Linked DNA regions of Neurospora crassa OR74A. The protein of the gene in region 3 interacts with the protein of the main gene of each other region in a pairwise test. Links are inferred from orthologs where the notes say so. Each region holds a gene or a part of one and is shown on either strand. Other genes may lie near its edges. The genes, in order: NCU04316, NCU05720 and chs-4.

Region 1 (3,755 bases), on a different chromosome or scaffold from region 3:
CCGTACCAGCTTGCCTGCCAAGGATATCAGAAACGCCGATAGTCTATAAGAATAACCAAGTCAACATTTCACCCAAGAGCTACCACTTAACTAATCACGATCTCCCCCCAGGCTGCCTACTAGAACTACCCTTCCCCGGTTTTTGCTCCTCTTCATCATCACTAGCACCACCAATGCTATACCTACTATCCGCATGCGGGTCCTCCGGCTTGCTCAAGTGCAAATCATCCAACTCGCTCTCGTCAAAATCCTGCGCTTCAACATCCCTCCTCCCGCTTCTCTTGTTCCTAAAACCTGCCAATCCTTGACCTCTCGTCCTATCTCCACCACCACTAAGGTTCCCACGAGGTCCCGGGTTGTTAGAAATGCTATGTCTCTCGCCCGTAGCAACACCCATATACCCCTGCCCAGCAGTCTTTCTCCTTTCTTTCCAGACAAACCATCCCCACACGCCCGCAGCAACAATGACAATCACCAGAACCAGCTCGCCTGACTTGCGGTAGGCTTCCCACTTGGCCATCTCCAACTTGGCCTTCTCGGCCGCTTGGTTGCTCGTGCTATTCCCTGCTGCGCCGCCGACCGTCGTTTCGGGTAACTTCTCCCCGTCGAGCCTCGAGTCCGTAGGCTGTCCGCCAATGCTACTGATATCCACGCCCATGAACCGATCCAGCATGTCGCGCGTGCGGCGGGGGTAATCGAAGGGGACCATGTGGCTGGAGTTGTAAAAGAGCACGTAGGTGAGGTTGCGCGCTTGTTGCCAGAAGCCGGCCGGTTCGCCTTCGAAGGTCCAGTCGCGCCGCGGCGCCCAGGTTCCCGGGGTGAGTTCGAAGCCCTTGCCGCCGTTCCATTCCATGTTGGAGATCAAGGCTTCGGTGCCCAGGTGGTTGCAGATGAGGTCTTCGGCGCCGGAGAAGAGCAGGATGGGAACGCCGGCGGAGAGGATGTCGGGAAGCAAGGTGATGGACGGCTTGGTCTTGGGGTTAAAGTTCATGCCTACCTGGCCGTTGCATTCAGTCCAGCCGGTAGACTTGTTATCGTTGATGTTGAGGGCCTTGATGACTTCCTTCTTGCGGAGGTAGGGGGTTACGCTCTTGAGGTCGGGGGGCCAGGCCATGCCGCATGAGGGGTAGTCGTCCTTCAGGCGGACGTCGTACATGTTGTAGCATTGGTTCTTGCCGCTGGCGCCGACGCCGCCAGCAGTCAGTTGGAGCATGTCTTGCAAAATAGCTTCGCATTCGGGGTAGTCGATCTTGTCGGGCTTGACGGCGATTTCCTTTTGGCAGATACGCTGTTGGATTTCGAGCTTGTTGGCGAGGTCGGTACCCTTCTTGACGATGTCCTTCTCGTAGGCAAACTGGAGGTAGGCGTCGTATTGCTCTTTGGGGGAAACCCAGCCGTTGCCGATGAGGAGGCCCGAGAGGTTCCATTTGCGATTGACGGGACCAGCGTTCTTGTTACGTTCGAGAATAGCTTGGGCGATGTAGGGAATGTGCTGACCGGCGTAAGACTCTCCGGCAATGTAAAGCTGAGAAATCGGTTAGACAGAACGAATCGAAGAGGTTCAGAGTGTGGCACCTACATCGTCATGCTCGTACTCTGGGAACAGAGCGAACCACCTCTCCAAAAAGGTAACAAAGTTGGCGGCCATCTCGGTCAACTCGTGGATATAGGCGTTGGTGTCGACATAACTGAAGCCAGTGCCGACGGGGTTGTCGACGAACAAGACGTTGGCGAACTCGTTCCATGCGCCATCGTTGTATACCAAGGTGTTTTCGTCCTTCAGTCTGTAGGGACCAATCTCCATCAATGCGCCATCCTCGGAACTGCAACCAGGACCACCATTTAGCCAGATGACGGTTCGTTGTTTGTTGGCGATATGTTTGTTCTGGAAGTGCCAGAAGAACAGGTTGCCGTTGTTATCAGGGGTGACCTCGATATGTCTAGTTGTGAGAACATGTCAGCCTTGGTGTTCCCCAACATATTGGATTCGCGCAGCAACAGTGAACTTACCCGGCATGCATCTTCACCAGAGGACCATCTGGTGCGCCTGGCAGATCATGGACAAAGTAGTCGGCGGAGCCAGCAGCGGCGACGAAGCTGGATGTCCATGACAGCGTGAATGCCGCGATTAGAGTCGACAGTCGTTTCCAGCTAGCCATAGACCGGCCAGCATTGGTGGTAGTGGTGGTGGCGGCCATGATCACCAACTGGACTCAAGTCGCTGGGTTCAGTTGTGGTGGGTGGGATGGAGGAGGAGACAATTGTCGTAAGTTTGGCTACCTATCACCACCAACCACATTCATGGGGGAGGATAGAAGAAGGCCGACGACAACGGCAAAAGTTGTAGGAACTCTGAAAAGGTCGAGATGTTGCTCCGAGACAGCATCCATGGATGAAACGGTAAAGAGGGAATCTGTCCTTGGGGCGGACGGACAATAGTGTACAACGTGGGATGAATGCCACTGCGGCACGGATAGTGGCGTTCCATTTCAGCTAGACCTCACAGGGGGCAATCTCATTACAAGTAAGGGACCCTGTTAGTGGTATTGGGCGATCCCGGTATGCTAGCTTAACACATAGCTGGGGGGCCTGGTCTTCTCTTCCATGCAGTCACTCAGTCCATGCGCCTCGTGGATGGACGCGCAAGCCAGTTCCATTCTCCTTCCTTCGATTATCCAACCTAAGCAATGTCGATATCGAAAGATAATACTCTTAATGTCCTTGTCTGCTATATTCTAATGCCTCAAGAACTTATTGTATAGTTATGGAATCGGGGACAGAGTTCTAATTACACACCAACTTACTCGCTATGAGAGCTTCCAAGGTTGTTTCCAGATCTTCAGGCACCGCATCTGGACGTGAATAAACGGAGCCTTATTCAGCCACTAACATGACTTGACAGAGTGTAAACCTCTTCGACAACTTTACTCCCTGATGGTTGACAAAGAGCAGCCCTAGAGGAAAACATCAGACGAAAGTTTCTAAATCCGGATATCGGCAAGAACTGAACAGCTGCTCATAAAATCGGCCCAGACCTGAACAACCGAGCGATTGTCCGCGAGCACGACTCATCTCGGCAGTCAAGCGTGAGCTCCTCGTATATACGATTACAAGTTCATCCACACTCTCCCCAGGTGTATGAGACAACAATTAGACATAACAATCAGACATGTACATGATCCCTCAGTTCGGACAGCCCCTACCGCCGGGATCTCTGCCGGAATGATGATATAAGACATTGCGGGGCCGGCTTCCGAGAACGGGCAAGGCAACCCGGGCCCGGATCGCCGAACTGAATCACCGTTACGGCATGCCGTCCATCTTGGCACGGAGAACCCCACCAAGCCATCAGAAAGCTCCACCAAGAAAATGTTAGTCTTGGCCTTGTGAGATCGTCCAAACACTTACACACAAACTTAACCCTCACTTTGACCTTTTTGATATCCTTGAATATCTTGGTCCCAGCACAACTTTTGAGCCGGTTTTTGAATTCCTACTCCAGCTACCGTAGTAATGGCCGCCACCAAGAAGACCTACATCGTCGAGCACCTCGATGAGGAGCTGGGCCCCTGGTCCGAGCTCGAGTACCTCGCTATCGCCAAGGAATCGCAAGAGATCGGTTCCGAGTTCCATCTGACTTCCCTGCCCCAGGGCTTCAAGGTCCCCGAGGCCCTGGCCGCTGTGCCGGCCTTCAAGGCTGAGAACCGCGGTGTTGAGGAGATCTATGCTGCTGACAAGAGCAGGGTCTGCCTGCT
Region 2 (3,755 bases), on a different chromosome or scaffold from region 3:
CTGTCTGTTGGGAATGCTTCGCTTGCTGCTTTCCCACCAGAAAAACCCCCGTACCGAAAATCATCAAAGATAGCTGCGTTATGCATTTTTGCGCCCGCCCAACCAAAACAAGCAAGCAACATGACAAGAGTGCCGTGAGCACATGGTATCAATCAACCGTCTGAAGACACATCCACAATCCATCCCTTTCCCTGTCCATAACATCCATCTCCTTCTCTACACTTTTTTTTCTTTTTTGTTTTTTTCCCTCAACATGTCCCAGGCCGTCTTAGGCGTTCTAATACCTCAAGGACTGCCTGTTGGGACTAGGCGTATACCCATGACTCTCCCGTCTGTGATGTCCTCCCTCATAACCGCTGGCGCTCGCACCACTTCCCGTTCCGGGCCCGGAAGCATAATGGCCTTCGTAAATCGGATCCGCATAGACCGTCGCCCTCCTGTCCTCCTCCGGACCCTGTGGCAGCAACTCCTTGACCTCCCAGTTGTTCATCCTCGTGCCCACCGAAAACTCCAAGTCCTCCTTGGTGATCGAGTCCCAGTACTTGTACACCATCATCACGGCCAGCAAGTTGCACGTCGTGGCGAAGAAGAGACCGTCCAGGTAGTGCGAGATGCCCTCGCAGATGGGCGAGCTGAACGCGTAAAGGATGACTTGGCCGGCAATGAAGAAGAAGAGGCCGAAGGCAATGTCACCCAGAGGCCAACGGTCCTGGAGAGTGCGGGTAACGAGGATGATCTGCATCACTACGTAGAGTAGGAGCTGGAGGGCGTTGAGAAAGTAGAGCACGACAAATATGCCGACGGTGTTGGTGGGACCCAAGCCGGCCCAGGATTTGAACGTGGCGAGACCGACGAGGAAGGAGATGACGAAAGCGACGAAGGAGCAGAGGCGGAGCATCCATAACGAGAGAGGAGTGCCGTCCTCATAGAGCTGGAAGCCGACGAAGCCGTTAATCACTAGGCAGGTGACCAGGGCGGAGGCGAGACCAGCTTGCACGGCGACGAAGTAGGGGTAAGAGCCCGAGTGCGGGGGGATGACGCCGGCATCGATACAGAGGGAGAGGAAGGTGAGGATCATGTAAAGGTAGAAGAAGGTGGTGATTTCTTTGCGGCCTGTTGGACACATTTATTCTCGTTAACACGCATTCCCTCCATGCCAAATCGAGAAATTGAAGAAGACGTACCGACAGCAGTGAACTTCCCCCTCACATGCAACAACATGACCACCGTCATGACTAGAGCAACAATGTGCATCACGCTTGCCGCGCCCTGGAAGATGATGGTGTTGGCCACCTCAATGTTGCGCGCATAGCAGTCCGGCTCAATGCCGACGCCGGTGGCAATCGATGTTATCGGGCCAACTGACGCGCATAGAGGAATAGGCGCCATGCGACATATGCTGCTGAAATCTCCGAATTTGCCCATGGTTGGCGATATATGAGGCCGTCGAGGGCCGGGTCAAGCTAAGCGTCGTTCGGCGAGGGCTTCGTGGGTGTCGTCGGGTCCGGGGGATAAAAAAAAAGGAAAAAGCGACGCAACGGGGCGGGGCCGAGAGAGAGGACAGGGGGATTTGTCGGCTCGGTGTCAATTCACGGCCTCGGCAGGTTCGACAACTCGAACTGTCGTCGCGGGAGGGAAAAAAAATAATAATAATCAAGGTGCGTGAGATTAGGGAGAAGATTGTGTCTCTTTTTGTATTCTTGTCTCGGTTTGTTCAAGTGAGACGGGCGCCTAGTGGAGTCTGTGCTACTGTAAAATAGTCCCGAGTCTGGAATGGGCGGGAAAGAGACGAGAGGTTGCCGTTGAGCGAAGGTCGGACAAGCGCGCTGTGTAATTCGGATACGCGATAGAATACCTATTGATTGGCGAAAACGAAAGTGTTGATGAAGATGTTTCAACGAATGTGTTTCGGTGGTTGATTTGACTTGACGACGACGACAACAACAACGAGAGAAGTTGGACGACCAGCCACCCGAGAAATGCGTAACGAAAACAGGCTTCCCCGCCGTGTCCCCCGTGTTGTTTGGTTGCGTTGCGACTGTAAGAAACGGGAAAGCTGAAAGATGAACTGAGGGCCAGTGCAGTGTGGACGCTGTGTGGGACTGACTGACTGCCTTGGGAAGCGCAGCTGGGGGAGGAGGGGGGGGCGCTGGCTGTCCCAAGATGGATGGGCGACCCACGGGCAGAAAAGGGAGAATCGGGGCACAGTCAGGGAATAATGACCAGGTGCCGCCCCATCTGGCTGCCCGTCATTTGGATGCCAAGAGAGCCAGGATATCCAGCTGGCAAATCGGCAACTATCACTTGACCCAGTGGAGTGAAGTAGCAGTATGGGCGCCCCGCCAAGCATCCGCTTCTCCGTCCATTTGGCTTGTGATCTTCAAGATCTTCAATATAAAACTCCCTTTTCCAACCTCCACGCCATTCCACGATCTTCACCTTGACGTCTTGTGAATATTCACTGCCTCACTCACTCTTGGAACTGGCGACGAACTGATCACCATTTAAGATACATCAAGAGTACTCTTTCTACACTCTCCTTTTCTTTTACCAAGTAGGTAATTACGGCCAACCAACCAACAACTTACAACCATGATACCCTGTGCTCTGCTCCTCCTCCCTCAGTCAGCTCTCGCCATACAAATGTCAACCACATATCTCGTCCATCCTGCACAGCCCAGTACACCACTTTCTTTGCAAAGCCCACACAGTTTAGTAACATTTTATGAAGAACAGACAAAGAAGAACATTATCGTGTCCATGCTATCAAGTTGATTTCCCTTTGCTCTTGTACACTTCACCATCCCTTCCCAAACGCCATTCGTAAATGGATATATCAAACCACCGTAGCCGCCTCATGCCCTGGTCTTTAATGCGTTATCATGCCATCGTTGACATTGCCACCATTCCCTTCCGTCCTCATTCTTGGTCTCTATGCGTGTTTCCAGACAGACAATGCTTCAGTGGGTTAAGTAAACACCGTCTATCAATGACCCAGCCCAGCCAATGCAAAATGCTCAACCGTCTTGTTATACACCAACTTCTGTGCCCGTACACACACATCGAGTCATTAAAAGTCATCATCATAGTCATCTCCTCCTACTATTCAGAGAGCCCATGTCGAGTCGCATCACAGGGCGATCAATCTCCAAGCTCCGACTCGGAATGAGCCTGCCGCCTGGTGTCCTTGGGTTGGCAACATTGACTCGGCCACGACGATGCGGCCTTACCGGTCCCTCTTCTTCGTCCGCGCTTCCTGACGAGTCATCCTCGTAGTCTTTGTTGGCTGGCAAATCAGAGCCAGTTACCACTTCATTGGAGTCAAAGAAGCCTTCGTTTCCGCTGGTCGGCCTAGGGATGCCTCTCACTGTGGCAACACTCTCCTGGCTGCCGCTTCGGTCACCCATCTGTGGTCGCCCGGTGTCCTCATAGTCTGCAAGCCTGGCAAAATAGTCTGCCAGGCCGTCAACACTAGGCGTACCAATGATGGCGTCGTATTGGGGCGGCGGCGTCATCAAATCGGCTTGAAGCGGCGGCGGGGGCTCGTCAGCATCAAATGCCGGTGGGTTGTATGATGGGCAGCGGATAAGGTGCATGGGCCGTTGCCGTTCGAGAGGGCTCGGTAGCGTGTGGCCCCGGGCTCGGTTCACAGGCAAGCCACCAGACTCCCGTGAATCATGGACATGAGCGGCTTGAGGGATTGAAGGTAAGACCGATGCGCTGAGCCTGTTGAGGCCCAGTCGACTGCCACTAGG
Region 3 (2,522 bases):
ACACCATCTGCCTTGTCACAGCCTACTCCGAGGGTGAGATGGGCGTTCGTACCACTCTGGACTCGATTGCAATGACGGACTACCCCAACAGCCACAAGGTTATCCTCGTTATTTGCGATGGTATTATCAAGGGCCACGGAGAGGAACACTCAACCCCCGATATCATTCTCGGCATGATGAAAGACCACACGATTCACCCCGATGACGTTGAGCCATTCTCTTATGTTGCGGTTGCAACTGGTTCTAAGCGCCACAACATGGCCAAGGTCTACACCGGCTTCTACGATTATGGCACTAACTCTGCCATTCCTCTGGAGAAGCAGCAGCGTGTTCCTATGATGATGGTTGTGAAGTGCGGCACTCCTGCTGAAGCCTCCAAGTCGAAGCCTGGAAACCGTGGCAAGCGTGACAGTCAGATCATCCTTATGTCTTTTCTCCAGAAGGTTATGTTCGACGAGCGTATGACGGAGCTAGAATACGAGATGTTCAATGGCTTGTGGAAGATCACGGGCATTTCTCCTGACTTCTATGAGATCGTGCTCATGGTTGACGCTGATACCAAGGTCTTCCCCGACAGTCTCACGCATATGATCTCGGCCATGGTCAAGGATCCTGAAATTATGGGTCTTTGTGGCGAGACCAAGATCGCCAACAAGCGAGCAAGCTGGGTTTCCGCCATCCAGGTATTCGAGTATTTCGTCTCTCATCATCTTGCCAAGGCTTTCGAGTCCGTCTTTGGCGGTGTCACCTGTCTTCCCGGATGTTTCTGCATGTACCGCATCAAGGCACCCAAGGGTGCCCAGAACTACTGGGTCCCTATCTTGGCCAACCCGGACGTTGTCGAACACTACTCCGAGAACGTTGTCGATACGCTGCACAAGAAGAACCTCTTGCTCCTTGGTGAGGATCGTTATCTCAGTACGCTCATGTTGCGCACGTTCCCCAAGCGTAAACAAGTATTTGTGCCTCAGGCCGTTTGCAAGACGACTGTCCCCGATGAATTCATGGTGTTGCTTTCGCAGCGCCGCAGATGGATCAACTCGACCATTCACAATCTGATGGAGCTCGTTCTTGTGCGCGATCTTTGCGGTACCTTCTGTTTCAGTATGCAGTTCATTGTCGGTATCGAGCTGATTGGTACCCTTGTGTTGCCTGCCGCCATTGCCTTTACTTTCTATGTTGGTGAGTAGCCACCAACCCCAGTTTTCTCTTCCTTTCTTGTTTGACCAACTGAAAACTAATGTCCGATACCTAGTCATCATCTCAATCATCAACTCCCCGCCACAAATCATTCCTCTTGTTCTCCTTGGTCTCATCCTCGGTCTCCCAGCCATCCTCGTCGTCGTCACAGCTCACAGCTGGTCCTACATCATCTGGATGTTTATCTACTTGCTCTCCCTGCCCGTGTGGAACTTTGTTCTGCCTACCTACGCTTTCTGGAAGTTTGACGATTTCTCATGGGGCGACACGCGCAAGACGGCCGGCGAGAAATCAAGCAAGGGTGGCCACGGAGAAGCCGAGGGAGAGTTTGATAGCAGCATGATTACCATGAAGCGCTGGGCCGAGTTTGAGCGCGACAGGCGCGTCCGCAGCACGTACTGGGCCGGCTCGAGGGACAATGTCATATCCGGGGTAGGGGGTAGTAATGGGTGGGGAAGCAGCCAGCCGAGAGGCCATGAGCAGGGGAGACACTTTGATGACTACTTTTCGGACGCTTAGGTTTTGATATGGTGTTGCTGTGTAGGGATGCCTTTGTTTTTTTTAAAGTATTACTGTTGTAGGGTAGGTAGGGTCTTTGTTCGGAGGTCAGGTGTTTGTTGGAAAAGAAGGGATCCGATTATCGAACCTGCCGGCCTCGGTTTCTTTTCATCACGTTCATCATGGACAAGGGCGATATTAATGTGGAAGTTTTGGTTGATCGGTTGGCGGGTGGGTTTTCTGTCGATAGGATTAACTCTTAGACATTATTATGTGGAAAAGATTTATTTTTCTTGGCATACATTCGTGATGGGATACCACTTCTTCCGTTCATCTATCCAGTCACAAGAACCGCTCATGAACTTCGCCATACTGCATCAGTAAGGAAGTAAGCACGAGCACATGAGAGCGCCACAATAGGCTGACTACCATGTATGTTTTCCCATATTGAATGTAGCTATCCGAAGGCAGACAGGGGGCAGCTATGTCTACTATCTAGACAGTATCTCTGTTCTGGTAAATTTGAATCGATGTTTGGGAGCACAGAGCAGTTTAGGCCAGGCGAACAATGGGCTAATCTTCCCTCCGACCCTCCTTTTAATAACGCTTTAGAAGTGGTTGCTTGTAAAAGAGGGGGTCACATCATGAAGTGAGGGAGGGTGTAGTGTAGACAGTTTTTGTCAGATATCTAGAACAGAGTATTGGAATGACCTGATCGACCGACTGACTGACTGACGACGCCATTTCTTGCGTAACCTCCGGCGAGAAAACCCAGGTAATAATGTTGGCGCGCCGGAGGGAGGGGGGAGGCGACAATGGTACAA

What was found.
Region 1: the proteins of chs-4 (region 3) and NCU04316 interact in binary tests that used the Saccharomyces cerevisiae proteins (3 or more experiments, as listed by UniProt). The link is inferred for Neurospora crassa OR74A from reciprocal best matches to the Saccharomyces cerevisiae genes CHS3 and KEX1.
Region 2: the proteins of chs-4 (region 3) and NCU05720 interact in binary tests that used the Saccharomyces cerevisiae proteins (3 or more experiments, as listed by UniProt). The link is inferred for Neurospora crassa OR74A from reciprocal best matches to the Saccharomyces cerevisiae genes CHS3 and CHS7.

What each region holds. Positions count from the first base shown.
Region 1 is NC_026505.1:5,592,862-5,596,616, forward strand, and holds the start of NCU04316 (pheromone processing carboxypeptidase Kex1), read right to left. Parts: upstream 2,436-3,755; 5' UTR 2,199-2,435; coding exon 2,011-2,198; intron 1,941-2,010; coding exon 1,580-1,940; intron 1,526-1,579; coding exon 95-1,525; 3' UTR 1-94. Other genes in the region: NCU04317 (DUF431 domain-containing protein), read left to right, coding at 3,514-3,755.
Region 2 is NC_026503.1:625,414-629,168, forward strand, and holds the start of NCU05720 (chitin synthase export chaperone), read right to left. Parts: upstream 2,138-3,755; 5' UTR 1,426-2,137; coding exon 1,185-1,425; intron 1,114-1,184; coding exon 278-1,113; 3' UTR 1-277. Other genes in the region: NCU05721 (arrestin domain-containing protein), read right to left, coding at 3,090-3,755. UniProt on the Saccharomyces cerevisiae protein: Chaperone required for the export of the chitin synthase CHS3 from the endoplasmic reticulum.
Region 3 is NC_026501.1:4,236,532-4,239,053, reverse strand, and holds the end of chs-4 (chitin synthase 4), read left to right. Parts: coding exon 1-1,182; intron 1,183-1,255; coding exon 1,256-1,719; 3' UTR 1,720-1,997; downstream 1,998-2,522. UniProt on the Saccharomyces cerevisiae protein: Polymerizes chitin, a structural polymer of the cell wall and septum, by transferring the sugar moiety of UDP-GlcNAc to the non-reducing end of the growing chitin polymer.